Linked DNA regions of Notamacropus eugenii. The protein of the gene in region 1 binds, or shares a complex with, the protein of each later gene. Links are inferred from orthologs where the notes say so. Each region holds a gene or a part of one and is shown on either strand. Other genes may lie near its edges.

The links. The genes of interacting proteins can lie anywhere in the genome.
Region 2: OS9 (region 1) and FAM8A1 share a complex: the UniProt entries of both Homo sapiens proteins name them as parts of the HRD1 complex. The link is inferred for Notamacropus eugenii from reciprocal best matches to the Homo sapiens genes OS9 and FAM8A1.

Annotation. Positions count from the first base shown.
Region 1 is NC_092874.1:233,054,168-233,061,601, reverse strand, and holds the start of OS9 (protein OS-9), read right to left. Parts: upstream 3,071-7,434; 5' UTR 3,000-3,070; coding exon 2,838-2,999; intron 2,319-2,837; coding exon 2,142-2,318; intron 1,547-2,141; coding exon 1,483-1,546; intron 1,365-1,482; coding exon 1,288-1,364; intron 1,064-1,287; coding exon 965-1,063; intron 699-964; coding exon 488-698; intron 374-487; coding exon 269-373; intron 75-268; coding exon 1-74. UniProt on the Homo sapiens protein: Lectin component of the HRD1 complex, which functions in endoplasmic reticulum (ER) quality control and ER-associated degradation (ERAD).
Region 2 is NC_092875.1:190,223,619-190,231,520, reverse strand, and holds the start of FAM8A1 (protein FAM8A1), read right to left. Parts: upstream 3,075-7,902; 5' UTR 2,995-3,074; coding exon 2,265-2,994; intron 1-2,264. UniProt on the Homo sapiens protein: Plays a role in the assembly of the HRD1 complex, a complex involved in the ubiquitin-proteasome-dependent process of ER-associated degradation (ERAD).

The DNA.
Region 1 (7,434 bases):
GGCCTGTTCTTCAGTCTGAGGGACCTTGTTCCAGATATCTGATTCTCCAGGGTCACCCTTGGGTGGGGTCATACCTGGGAGTAGGAATGGGACAAAGCAAGGTCTGAAGAGAAAAAGGAAATGCGGAACTACACCTGCACCTCCTCTGTATGGATCTCAACAGGTGGAACAAAGCAGTCAAGATAGATGGCACCCCCTTCCCTTCCCAGGAGCTACTAAAACTAGCAGAGAAGAGCCACCTCACAGGATAACTGAGAGGAAATATGACCTGTTCCCTTTGTATCGAGGACCCCAAACTGTGTCTCACTCCACATTTCAAGGTCTGGGTTGTGAAGCTTCTCAGAGATTTCTTCAATTTTCTGCTTTGCATCTACTGGAAAAAAATAAAAAGGGAAATTAATTGGAGAGCATGAGACTAGGTGTTCAAAATATTCCCTCTCTCCCCACTCCTCTCCTTCAAATATATCCCAGTCCCCCTGAGACTCACACACTTGTCCCTGGATATATGCTCCATACTGCTCTGGCTGTAAGGTAGGGTGACATCGGATGGCCTGGGGGGCAGCACTTGGAGGAGGTCGAAGAAGAGGATGGGAGCAGAGTCGAGGGGTTCGAATAGTGAGCACATAAGAACATGACTGAGGTTCATCTACCCGATCAATGTAATCCCCCGAAGCATCTGAACCTTCATCACACAGAAACTGACCGAGAGAGAGCAAGTTAATTCAGGAGGGATTGGAATAATGGCAACTCTATTGTTGCTACTGGGGAGTGGCAGGGGAAGATTTGAAAAGGGAAATAAAAGCCTGCATTATATAGAGAATTAACTAGAGTGACAAGCCAGAGAAAGGAGCATCAGATAGTTAAATCTTTGGGGACTGGCCCCTAGAAGACAATTCTACTCTGTCTCCTCACAGTTCAAGTGCTTTGTTATGAGAAGAGATGGCTTCCATTTCCCTAGACTCACCCGGACTTCAGTCTCTCTGGGCCGACCATTCAGGTCACACTTGGAGCCATTTCCATAGTGCTGACTATGGTAGCGTTTCAGACGGTGTTGCTTGGAGGCCTGATATGTAGAGGTGGGGGGGAGGGGAGGAAATATGATAAAGTAGGAGGGGCAGCCCTGAAAATGCTAAAATATTTGAAAAAGGCCCTAGGAGCTAAGACTGAATGGTCATTCAACCCTGAGAAGCTAGTTTGACTCACCCAGACCCATTCCCTATTCCCCAGAGATCTCAAGACTCCAACCAGGATCCTTACTTTCCCTCCCAACTCTCCAACCACCACTACCTTGGCAGTCTCATCATCCCAGTTGAAGGAAGATTGGTAATATCCAAGATAAAGAACAGAACCTTTGATCTCTGAATCTAGAAGAAACACCAAAGGGTAGAATTGTTACTCTTCTGTAAGGTAAGAGGTCAGAATAAGGTGGGTTACCCTTCATCTAGTATTGCAGTGGGAGAGTGAAGGAATTAGAGGAATCACCTTCCATGTGGTATTGCTGTATGTGGCGTCCATAACAAAATTCATATGTCCACCAGTCCTTGGTCTAACAATGACAAAGTTAACAGTCAGTAGGGATGTGAGGAGGGGGAGGGGGAAGTCTGTCCAGCTCTTAAGATGCTTTCGTCCACTTTTGTACCTTCCTTGGCAGGGAATCCTTTATGTTCTCTATGGAAGAGGATCCCTTACTGCCCCTTGATCTCCCTGTTTCTAGGTATTTCTTCAAAGCTTCCTTGCAGTCTAAACTTCCTCCACCTGCAATTTCTGCCCTCCCCTCTCATTGTGCCTTTCATGAGAAGAGGAAACAATCACATTTCTTTAGAGATCCTCCGCTTTTAATTTTATCCCCACCCCTCAACTTCTCCCTCTGTCGATAAACTCCTCCTCCCAAACACTCTAATCTCATTCTAATACTATTACTCCTTCTATCCCCCAACATTCTATTAGGTTGTGCTTGGGGTCTATCCCGAGTATAGGGTTATTTTTGTCCTCATCACTGCCTTTACTCTTGGGTGGCCTGTTTATACCCACCCTGCCCTAGTCCCTATACCCCTTCTTCCTCAACAGCCCACCCTCCAGGCTTTCCACTCTAATTTAATTTGCTGTCCTGCCCTCCTTTTCCCTCCTCCAGCCCCATTCACTTTCACTAGGCAGGGCGCCTCTCTCATTGGGTTCAGCAGCTCAGGGACTCCAGGCCCTTTATAAGGAGGGGCCTCCTCCTCATGCTCCCGCTGGAAGTGAATGGCTCCAGCTGGTAGACGGCATTCGTATCGCTGTTTGTACTTGGAGGAGACAATCACGACCTCTGAGGACTGGCTCTGGAAGAGGAGAGAACACAATTTGGGGGGTCAGAGGTAGAACAGAGGGACAGAGGCTGACGGAGATCGTTGACAACAATGACAATCCGAGCCAAGCCTGGAAGACGAACGCAGCAGTCAGAGAGGAAAATGGGAACTATGGGAGGGAAGGGCTGGCATGGTCAGCGTGCGCACGGGGAATGCTCCGTGCATTTTGTTTCTTTCTGCGACACCGGGAGGCCCGGCTTGCTCCCCCGCCTCCGACTCACAAGGGGAGCCAGGATCTCATTTTCCCTTTCGGGGACTCAGTTTCCCCATCTGTAAAGCGGAGGCTCTGCGGCTGGACGATGTCCGAGGTCGCCAGCCCTCCTCCGCAGAGGGATGGAGCGACGCCTCTCAGGGTCCTCCTCCATACCTCCCCTCGCCTCGCCCTCGTCTCTCGGGGTCCTCGGTCTCCTGTCGCCCCCTCCCCCGGACGCCCCACCCCAGCCCCTGGCCCCAGCTCCCCCCCTCCCCGCCTCCTGCTCCCCCGGGGCTCACCTGACCCCCGATGACAGGCCGCGGCAGGATCTCGATGCCGTATCGCATCTCATTCAGCTCCTCCAGGTTCAAGCTCCCGACTACGCAGGCCGGCAGCTCTGACAACAGCGGCCCCAGGAGCAGAGGCCATAGCAGCCGAAAGAGCAGCGACGTCGCCGCCATCTTTCGTCCCTCGACCCTAACCCGAAAGCGGCCGCTTCCGCCCTGAACCGGGCAGCCGCCTCGCCCTTCCCCCTTACGCCTGTGGATCTCACTAGTCCTCGCTTATGCCCGTCATGGAGACGCGGGCTCCTATTGGTCTACGTGATGTCGGACAGTATGTATGAGAGCGACGGACTGGCGGACAGACGAGAAGGACTGACGGAAAGATGGACGGAGGGAGGGACAGAAAGACAGAAAGACCGGCTGACGGACGAGAGCAGGGCTGGTGGTGGTGGTGGGAGGGAGTGGGAAGAGGTGGGCTTCGGCTCTGAGATTTCCAAGGCCTCTTACCTGCCGAGAGTGGATTGGCTGGAGTCAGCGCTGAGTCAGCCAATAAGAAGCTAGGTCAGCAGCTCTCCTCTAAAAGGGGCGTGCCTGAACGGAGGACTCAGGGGCCGAGGTATCCCCCTGACCGGGACTTGCTGTCAGATCTAATCCTTCTTCGTTACCTCTGCGGCTGGGCGGGGCAAGGAAGAGGAGCTGGCCAGCCGCTCTGCAGCGGGACCGGCCACCTGCTGGCAGGACAATGGGGCCGGATTCTGCGACCCTGAGTGTCGCATAAAAACGGGAATAAGCATTTTAATAAAGATCAAAATGAACCTCTGGCTGCAGTGCTACTATGATGGAATGATACGCGAAGGGATAACTGGAATGACGTCTAATTGTTACCCTAATGACTACAAAGTGCTGTGCGACCCTGGGAAGGTCGCTCATCCTCAGTTTCCTCATTTGCATAATGGAGATAATTATAGCACCTGCCTCAGAGTTGTGAAAATAACAGATGTAGAGTGCTTTGCAACCTTTGACAGCAATAATGATTAATAATGTCTATTTAATTTGTAACCCTGGGAGCACCTTTCCTCCCAAAGTCTTTAAAATGGACATCCATTGCATCCGGGCCATCACCAGTCATCTTGGTTTTTGTCCTGTCACTGGAATTTGATGGTTTTGGAAGGGAGAGTGAAGTTGACGTCTTTTTCCAACTGTGCCTCACTAAAATCCATTCTTACTAGCAAGTCAAGATATCACCCAAAACATTGTGATTTCATTGCTTCTCTTCAAAAAAAGAAGGATGAACAACAAGGGTGATTTGTTTGTTGGACCAAGGTTTCTATCTTCTGCCAGGCAGATATCACTTACATACCCCTACCTAGTTGCCATGGTATTCTGATGACCTTGAACCAGGTGTTTTGTGAAGCTCAAATAAGATAATGGATATAAAACATTCTGCAAATTATTATTATAGTAATATGTTATATTTATATTATATTACATTGTTATACAATATATTAATTTAATTAATAATTATTATCATTATTATTTATAGTCTCCAGTCTTCTAGTCTGGTAATGACTTCATTCTCTGAGTCTTTTACTGCATTCCTGCTTAGTTCAAACAACATTTATAAAACGATACAGGAGTGTGCCATTAAATGTTACATAACTGGGCTCTCCCAGGGGTAAAAAAAATGTGTGCACAAACACTCTTAAGGTTAGTCTACATTATTAAAACTTTTTGAAGTTCAGAAATCAACAAAAATAAACAAATCAAGGCCTGATTTGTAGCAATTGACAATTTCTGAGGTATCAGTACTCAAACTGAAAATTTAATAATCAACTCCTTTAATAATCAAGTTGCTTTCAAGAAGCAAGGGTGGAACAGATACATATTGCCCAAGAACAAGCCATTATAACTGTGCTAGAGGAGCTGCCTTGAGGCTCTGACTAAGGATCAAGGCCTTAACTGCCTTTAGGCCTTGCAGCTGGTTTTGAGCTGATGTGGTATTGGTTGTTGGTGGTGGTTGTTGTCTGTCTTCAAAGAGGACCAAAATGACATCACTGGGATAAAGTGAAATTTCAATATGTCTGACTGTGGGTGATCAGACCAATATGAGCTCAGAATGCTTTACCACAGGTTGGGCACAGATAATCCATGTGAATATTTGGGGTGGATATCCCAAATTTGCGCATCTTATGTTTACTTTGTGCTGTCTCAATTCTGCTTTGCTCAAAGAGCACAGCACCCTTTCTGATGTGGGCACGCCATGCTGAGCAGTCCTGTGCCAGTAGAGTAGTAAAGATTATGTCATTATCTGAAGACAGTGATTGGCCAGATGCAAGCTAAAGAGACAATTTCTTTTTATTTTTTTTATTATTTTTTTTATTTAACTTTTAACATTCATTTTCACAAAATTTTGGGTTCCAAATTTTCTCCCCATTTGTCCTCTCCCCCCACCCCAAAACACCAAGCATTCTAATTGCCCCTATCACCAATCTGCCCTCTCTTCTATCATCCCTCTCTGTCCTTGTCTCCATCTTCTCTTTTGTCCTGTAGGGCCAAATAACTTTCTATACCCCTTTACCTGTATTTCTTGTTTCCTAGTAGCAAGAACAGTACTCGACAGTTGTTCCTAAAACTTTGAGTTCCAACTTCTCTTCCTCCCTCCCTCCCCACCCCTTCCCTTTGGAAGACAAACAATTCAATATAGGCCATATCTGTGTAGTTTTGCAAATGACTTCCATAATAGTTGTGTTGTATAAGACTAATTTTCTTTCCCTCCATCCTATCCTGTCCCCCATTACTTCTATTCTCTCTTTTGATCCTGTCCCTCCCCATGAGTGTTGACCTCAAATTGCTCCCTCCTCCCCATGCCCTCCCTTCCATCATCCCCCCTACACTGCTTATCCCCTTATCCCCCACTTTCCTGTATTGTAAGATAGGTTTTTGTACCAAAATGAGTGTGCATTTTATTCCTTCCTTTAGTGGAATGTGATGACAGTAAACTTCATGTTTTTCTCTCACCTCCCCTCTTTTTCCCTCCACTAAAAAGTCTTTTGCTTGCCTCTTTTATGAGAGATAATTTGCCCCATTCCATTTCTCCCTTTCTCCTCCCAATATATTTCTCTCTCACTGCTTGATTTCATTTTTTTAAGATATGATCCCATCCTCTTCAATTCACTCTGTGCACTCTGTCTCTATGTGTGTGTGCATGTGCATGTGCATGTGTGTGTGTGTAATCCCAGCCAGTACCCAGATATTGAAAAATTTCAAGAGTTACAAATATTGTCTTTTCATGTAGGAATGTAAACAGTTCAACTTTAGTAAGTCCCTTCTGACTTCTCTTTGCTGTTTACCTTTTCATGCTTCTCTTCATTCTTGTGTTTGAAAGTCAAATTTTCTTTTCAGCTCTGGTCTTTTCATCAAGAATGCTTGAAAGTCCTCAATTTCATTGAAAGACCAATTTTTCCCCTGAAGTATTATACTCAGTTTTGCTGGGTAGGTGATCCTTGGTTTTAGTCCTAGTCCCTTTGACTTCTGGAATATCCTATTCCATGCCCTTCGATCCCTTAATGTAGAAGCTACTAGATCTTGTGTTATCCTGATTGTATTTCCATAATACTTGAATTGTTTCTTTCTAGCTGCTTGCAATATTTTCTCCTTGACCTGGGAACTCTGGAATTTGGCCACAATGTTCCTAGGAGTTTCTCTTTTTGGATCTCTTTCAGGCAGTGATCTGTGGATTCCTTGAATACTTATTTTGCCCTCTGGTTCTAAAATCTCAAGGCAGTTTTCCTTGATAATTTCATGAAAAATGATGTCTAGGCTCTTTTTTAGGTCATGGCTTTCAGGTAGTCCCATAATTTTTAAATTGTCTCTCCTGGATCTATTTTCCAGGTCAGTTGTTTTTCCAATGAGATATTTCACATTATTTTCGATTTTTTCGTTCCTTTGGTTTTGTTTTGTAATTTCTTGGTTTAACATAAAGTCATTAGCTTCCATCTGCTCCATTCTAATTTTTAAAGAGCTATTTTCTTCAGTGAGCTTTTGAATCTCCTTTTCCATTTGGCTAATTCTGCTTTTGAAAGCATTCTTCTCCTCATTGGCTTTTTGAACCTCTTTTGCCAGTCGAGTTAGCCTATTTTTCAAGGTATTATTTTCTTCAGCATTTTTTTGGGTCTCCTTTAGCAAGGTGTTGACCTGCTTCTCATACTTTTCTTTCATCTCTCTCATTTCTCTTCCCAGTTTTTCCTCCACCTCTCTTACTTGATTTTCAAAATCCTTTTTGAGCTCTTCCATGGCCTGAGCCCATGGTATATTTATTTTGGATGTGTGGGATACAGAAGCCTTGACTTCTGTGTCTTTCCGTCATGGTAAGCATTGTTCTTCCTCATCAGAAAGGAAGGGAGAAAATATCTGTTCACCAAGAAAGTAACCTTCTATAGTCTTATTTTTTTTCCCTTTTCTGGTCCTTTTCCCAGACAGTGACTTGCCTTCTGAGTTTTCTTTCCACCCCCACCTCACCTCCAGATCCACCCAGCCAGTGCTTGGGGTCTGAGATTCAAATGCTGCTTCCCAGCCTCAGGGCTTTGGGTGGGGGCAGGGCTGCTATTCAATG
Region 2 (7,902 bases), on another chromosome or scaffold:
GGAAGAGGAGAGAAAAAAAGGGAGCTCTCACTGAATGGCTTCACTTTCTTCAATCAAACATGAGGCAAGATGCTCAGTTCAGAGTGGGGAGGTGTAGTGGTGGGAAGTCTGAGGATGCAAGAAAGAATCATGGAGGCTGAGTACCCCAGGGATCTTTGCTTGGCTATATACTATTTCACATTTTTATAACCAATATAAGAGCACAGATGACATGCTCATCAGATATATAGGTAACACACAGAGTTGAACATGATAGTAAACATGATAAGATGACAGAATTAGAATATCAAAAGATCTTGACAAGACTACAGATGAGTCAAAGATGAAATTCAATCGGGATAAAATATAAAGTCTCTTACTTGGGCACCAAAACAAAAAAAAAAATCATTTCCCCAAGTACAAGAGTCAGTTAGACTCCTGTTTTGAAAAAGATCTGGGGTTTTTAGTGGGCATCAAGCTTGATATGAATCAGTATGATAATGTGGTAGCCAACAAAGCTATTGATATTGAGCTGCACTAAGAACAACATAGCTTTTAGGAATGAGGTGGCAGTCCCACTATATTCTGCCCTTGTTAGACATCATTTGAAGTACTGTGTTCAGCTCTAAGTGTCACAGTTTAAAAAAAGAAGTTAGAAAATGTTTAGAGGAGGGCAACTACAAGGGTGAAGGACCCAGGTCATGTAAGTCTGTGTTGAAGGAACTGGGCATGTTTAGCCTGAAGAAGAGAAAACTCAAGAAACTGTCCTGGTAAGGAAGGTTTATATTTGCTCTGCTTGGCTCCAGAAGACAGAACAAGCAGCAACGTGGGGAAAGAGGGAAGGGATGTCAGGAAGCACATCCCAATGATTACAATTGTTCAAAAGTAGAATAGGCTGCCTCCAGAGATAGGCTCCTCCTCCTTCAAGGTTCTCTTCAAGCACAAGGTGGACAGTTGCTTGTTGGGTATGCTACAGTTAAGATTCCTATAGTGTATGGACTGGTCTAGACTCTAGAGAGTCACTGAGGTTCCTTTCCAAGTCCTAAAATTCTGAGAACTCTGACCAGCAAAATCACTGCTTCTTACAGTGTGATACAACATTCTTAACTGAAGACTTGTACTTCTCTACAGAAAGGAGGGACGGACTTCTTTTTTCTGTCCTCAAGGACCAGGATTGTCACTGCATTAAATATGCCTTCCGCTACCTTTCGGTGTCATTTTTGTGTATATCATTTATTGCAATTATCATGTACGCTATTCTCCTGGTTGTGGGGTTGGGTTTTTTTGCTCTGCTTCATGCCAACCTGTATTTTTCCATGTTTCTGTAAATTCTTCATATTTTTGATTTTTTTATTAGAGAGGCCATGTGTCATATAGACAGTTAGCCTCAGAGCCAGGAAGTTCTGGGTTCAAGTCCTATCTCTGGAGCACTCTGGCTGGACAATTCATTTAGCTTCCCATACTCTAAGAATTCTGAAAGACTTAAGTTGTAGAGAAGGTACCAGCCTGCACTGGTAGTTTTTCTGGGGGCTTACTAATGAAATGGCAGGTCCTACTGTTATTTATATTCTTATTTCTGCAGAGCAGTACCTTGTCATTACATTCATATGCCATTTTAGTTTTTAAATGGTTTATTAATGCCATTCCTTTTCACACTACACTTATTTCCTGACACACCTCCCACGGAAAAGGAATCCTCTCCTCTAAAAACAAAAACAGTTAAATAAGCCTAATAATTACAAGAAACAAGCACATAATCTTTTGGGTCGCAGTATACAGTTAAATCACTCACCAGTTAACAATCTCACAGATATATATGCCCATGGTCACCCTACCACCTTGAGCAATCAGGTATGAACCTCGGTCTTCTGACTCTATCTCCCCAAACTCTTATCTACTTTACCATATTACCTCTGGTCCGGAATATAATACAAAACATTTCCCTCTCAGGAGGGTTTGCAGAAAAGGTCAGGTGGCAAAGGGAGCTTCCCTAATGTGGAGTTTAATGGAGCAAAGGAGAAAGAGAACTGTGGTGCACATGCGTGAAGAAGACCAGAAACCTAGTCGTGCCCTTTGGAAATTGCAGCCTATATGTCCACCTTAAGGAAAAAATCGAGGTCCGAAAGGTGCAAGTGTTTCTGCGCTAAAAAAAGAAAAAAAAAGAATACATAAGCAAATATTTGAATTAAAAAAGGCAGGCACCACTGCTTCCAAGCGAGCCCTACCCCCTAGCCACACAGACCTAGACTCAGACCCAGACAGACACACCCCCCGCCGCCCTTTACCTGCGGGACGCCCGTTCTCGTTCTGCTGCCGGGCCGCGGTGACGCCACCAGCCCTGGTCACCGGAGCCAGTCTGGCCGATCCCTGCCAGCTAGGGGCTCGGGGCCCCGGGGAGGGGGCGGCGGCGGCGGCGGCAGCCGCAGCGGGGGCGGCGGGGGTCGCGGTCGGCGCCGCAGTGGCCGCCGCAGTGGTCGCGGGGTCGGCCGCTGGGGGGGTGGCCAGACAGTAGAAGGGGTTGTAGTAGCCGAGCGGGGCAAGCGGGGGCCCGGCCGCGGGGCCGTTGGGGGGGCTGCCGCTTCCCGGGGCGCAGGACGGCGGAGGCGGGGGCGGCGGCGGCTGCAGCGGGGGGCTGCCGTAGGCGGGGAAAGCCAGGAGGCCGCTCTGCCAGGTCAGGTAGCCGCAGTACGACTGCCACAGCCACTCGTGCACCTGCCGGGAGTACTCGCGCGCCGTCGGCTTCTCCGCGGGCGCCTCGCCGCCGCCGGGGTCCGCTTCGCTGTCGGTAGGCCCGGGCTCGCGCTCCGGGCCCGCCTCGGAGGCGGAGGCTGCGGCGACGTTCTTCGCCTCGGGCCTCGCCGGGGCCCGAGACTGGCCCGGCTGCTCGTCCCGGGGAGGGATGACGGCCGACGAGCTCGAGGTGGAGGCTTCGGAGTCGCGGCCCCCGCCTCGGTTCTCCCGCTTGCCGCGCTGCCGGGGTAGGCGGCCCTGGGCTTTTTCCGGGCCCTCCGCCATGGTCGCCACTGCCCCAGCCGCAGCTGGATCTGTCACTGCCCCAGCCCGGCGCCGCCGCAGTCGCCGTCGTCAACAATCCGTAACCGGAAGCGGAAACCCCGCCTCTCCCAAACGTCACCGCCCCCTCTCCAGCTGCAGGCTTTGCAGAGCTGCGGCGTTGGGGCGTTGCTGCGGTCCTCATCCACGAATCCCCAAGTCGGCCTTTGGGGCCCAGCTTGGCCCCTGCAAGCTCAGGAGCCCCCAGGGCCCGGCTGCCGTTTACGCCCAGCACTGCAGAATGCCCGGGGCCTCTTTCCCCGCCGTTCAGCCCTGTTTTCGTTAGGGATGTCTGGGTGGAAAAAGAACCCCCGGGATTGGGACTTAGAGCGAAAGGAGAGGGCGGCAGGTTTAAAAACCTTGTCTGAAGGAAGTAGGGGGTTGGAAATGTGCCCCCCCCCCCCCCCAGCCACACACCCCCACCCCGCCACCCGCTCACACCCCCTCACACCTCCACCCCCACCCCCACACACAGGAGCAGCCCTCGCTTTCAAGGTGCTGACAGATCTAAGGGGGAAGACTTCAAAAAAGGAAGCTGCAAAGGAGAGAGAAGTGCGAAAGGGCGGTCCTCGGGGGAGGAGGAGGGGGAGTCTCCCTGACGGGTGGGAAATCCGATGGTCAGTCCCGAGGCTTCTCCTTAAATGGAAATTTTGGCATTCCTGGTCTCACCTTGCAGTCGGAGGAGCAGAAGGTAATTACTGAGGAAGAGGTGAGCCAGGACCAAGCCTAATTTGATGTTATAGATGGGTGAGTGGTCCTAATGGTAATGATCCTGGGATATAGTGGATAATTGAGAGAAGACCCAAAGACCCTGGGACCCAGATGCAGCCAGGTACGAAATGAGCCACAGTGAAAGGAATTGGCTTGTTTGCTATTTTGGAACTAGGAGGAATACTGAAGTTGGGGGATGTGGCTCAAAAGGTACAGGTTACAGCATACAAGTCCATCTATTCAAAGAGTCCTTTCTTTGTAAAGAGGGATGAACTTAATCTTCAAGACTGATTCAGCCTGCTTTTAAACTAAAGAAGAACTACTGATCTCTTGGTAATCGTTGTCTTGTGTTTGAACATACTCTTTTCAGAAGTATTGCAAATATTATACTAGTTCAGCTTTCCTTAAGTCTTTCAAGCTCTGCTCTTGACACTCATTTCACTACAATAAGCATTGTTTATTAAGCCCTTATTGGGTTCCTGGTGCTGGGTTAGGTGCTAGTGATACAGCGACAAAAATGGAACAGTGCCTGTCCTCAAGGAGTGGCTTCTTCCATTAGCTGGAGACAACAGATAAGCAGATGCCGATTATATAAGCAGTGATGACCTCATTCACTCCCACAGCTTCCAGAGGTTCCCAAAGTGGGTGATACTGTCCCCTGGGGGTGCTGGAACTATGGGGGGGCAGTAGTAACTTTGGGTACATTTGGGGGGTATTGAGGAAAAATAAAGGGATCATGGAAGCAAAAGGAAAGAAGATTAGATAAGAATTCGAAAAACCCATCATACGTGTCTCATCTGTCATGTAACAGAGTTAAAGTCATAGTAATTACATTATTTTCCAAGTAAATGCACAAAATGCAAATTATAACCAGTGAGTGATCAAGTCCACACTCACAGGTCTTAATATGTAAGTGTTGTTAAGTGAGCTTGTCCCTGCATTGTTGGAAGTCCAGCATGTGTTGGCAGGAATATGTGCATGTAATGACATGTTTACAATACAATACTATGGTATTGGTTTACAATGGTTATATGGTACAGTATTGCCTCATCAAAGTTTCAATACAGGAAAAAACCCCACAAATTTGCAATAAACTATCAAATTTAAGACGTGTCATTTAAAAAAAATTATATTTTTGAAAGGATACAACTTTTTAAAAAACCTGTTAAAGGGTTAAAGAAAGTAGATTTCCAGGGGGTTGTTGAGTATTTCTTTTTTGAAAAGGGGGCAATAGGCCAAATAAGTTTGGGAACATCTGGCTTAAATGATACTTATGTCTGTATTACCAAATTTATATCTGTAGCCTGTTCTGTTTTTTAGAATATTTAATTGATTCTTTTAAAAAGTACTGTCATTTCCAAGTAGCATCCCCAAAGTAGAATCCTCTTTTAACAGTTAAGCAAAACAGTACATTGATCTGATGCATGTGATAGTACATATATCATTCTACATATTTAGTCTACCACCTCTCCACAATAAGGTATGTATCTCATCATCAACATACTTCTATAGATTTTCTTGTTCAGTGTACTGAAAGCAGTTCTGATTTTTTCTTTTTTTTTTACTTTCCTTTACCTACTGTGGTCATTGTGTATCTTGTACTATTCTGCCTTAATTCTGCAGCAGTTCTTATATATCTTCCCTCCTCCTGCCTTCCAGCAATTGGGGCAAGAACTCACATTTGACAAAAACATTTGGGAAAACTGGAAAATGATCTGGCAGAAGCTAGGCATAGACCAACATCTTACACCATATACCAAGATGAGTTTGAAATAGGTATCTGATTTAAATTAGTGGAGCAGAGAAGAATCACCTGTCAGATTTACAGATGGGAAAGAGTTCACTACTGAACAAGAAATAGACAAGTTTACTGGAGATAAAATGGATAATTTTGATTATATAAAATTAAGAAGGTTTTTCACGAACAAAACTAAAGCACCTAAAATTAAAATAAAAGCAGGAAACTGAGGAAAATCTTTGTTGCAAAAAGTCTCATTTCAAAAATATACAAAGAACAGAGTCCAATCTATAAGAAGAAAAGCCCTCCACAAGTTAATGAAAGGTTAAAGGATATGAATAGACAGCAGAAGAAATCAAAGCTATCAAGGGCCATATGAAAATATTCTCAAAATTCTAATAACTAGAAAAATGCAAGTTAATACTCTAAAGAGATCAAAGAAAGAGGAGAAGTACCTATATGTACAAAGATATTTATAGTAATTCTTTTTGTGGAGACAAAGAACTGGAAATTGACGCAATTAATTGGGGAATCAATTGGGTAATGGCTGATCAAAGTATGGTATATGAATGTGACCTAATCCTAATATGTTAAGAAATGATGAACAGGATGAATTCAGAAAAACTCAGGAAGATCTGAATTAACTGATGCAAAGTAAAGTGAACAGAACCAGGATAATGACCAGAACAAGAGACAACAACGGAAATATTGTAAAGATAATCAACTTAAAGACTTAGTAACTCAGATTAATACAATGACTCATCACAATGCGAAAGGATTCATGATGAAACATGCTATTCACTTGTAGATAGAGAACTGATGGATTCAGAGTATAGATTGAAATATCTTGAAAATCTATCATTATTTCCTTTCACAGAGACATTGAGAATACTTTAAAAAACACCAAAAGCTTATATGCATTGCTATAATCATCTAGCCAAACAAATGTCCACATTAGCCGTGTTTGAAAATGTAAGTATCTCTATTTTAAGTTTATCACTTCTCTCTCAGGAGGTAAGCAATGATTTTCATTTCCGTTCTTTTGGACTTGTGTCTTATGTTTTGTTGATCAGCATTATAATGTCTTTGAAAGTTATTTTCTCCATAATGTTGTCACTGTATAAGTTGTTCTATTTCTCCTCACTTTGCTCTGCATCAATTCATAGAGTACTTCCCACTTCCTTCTGAAATTCTGTTTCATTATTTCTGATGCCACAATAATATGCCATTACATTCATGTACCACAATTTGTTCAGCCATTCTCCAATAAGAGGATATTTTCTAGGTTTCCAACTTTTGGCTAATACAAAAATAGAGATTACAAATGTTTTTGTACATATAGATCCTTTTCCTCTGTTTGATTTATTTGAGAGTATAAGACTAGTAGCAATATCACTGGGTCAACGTATGAACAATTTGGTAGCTTTCTGATCGTATCTTCAAATTTATTTCCAGATTGGCTAGGCCAATTCACAGTTCCACCAATAGGACACTAATGAATTTGTTTTTCCTTAATCTCTCCAGCATTTGTAATTTTCCTCTTTTGTCATCTTTGTCAATCTAATAGTTGTAAGGTGAAATCTCAAAGCTTGCATTTTTCTGATTATTAATGATTCAGAGTATTTTTTCACATGATTGTTGATAGCTCAGATGTCATCCTTTGAAAACTGCTTTTTCATATCCTTTTACCAGTTGTCGATAGGGTAATAGCTCTTAGATATGTGACCTTTAATTAATTAATTAGTTGCAAAGAATTTTCCCCCCAGTGAACTATTTCTAATTTTCATTACATTGTTGGTGAAAAATAATTTTAAGTTTATACAATCAAAATTGCCTATTTGTTTCTTGTGTGATCCTTTGTCGCTTGTTTAATTACAAACTCCTTCCTTATCTACATATGTAAAAGGTAATTTCTTTGTTGCTCCTTTAATATGTTTATGAGATGGATGATCTTTTATATCTAGGTCATGTATCTCTTTCAAACTTATCCTGGTACAGTCTGAGGTATTGATCTATACCTAATCTCTGTCAGGTTGCTGTCCAGGTTTTCCAGAAGTTTTTGTTAAATAGTGAGTCCTTCCCACAGTAAAAAGGGTTTGTTTTATCAAACACTATGTTACTGTTTGTTTGCTTTTATAGTTTTACATTTAATTGGTTCCACTGATTGACATGTCTCTCTTTTTCCCTTTTAAATGAGTACCAAATCATTGTAATTGTTTCTGTTTATTGTATGGTTTCATATCTAGTACTGAGAGACCTGACCTTCCTTCCCACCTTTTTTTTTTTTTTTTTTTTTTTTTTTTTACTATTACTCTTGAGATTCTTGACCTTTTGTTCCTTGTTATGAGGAACATATTATTTTTCTAGCCCTGTAAAATATTCATTTGAGAGTTTGCTGTAGCACTGAAGAAATAAATTAGTTT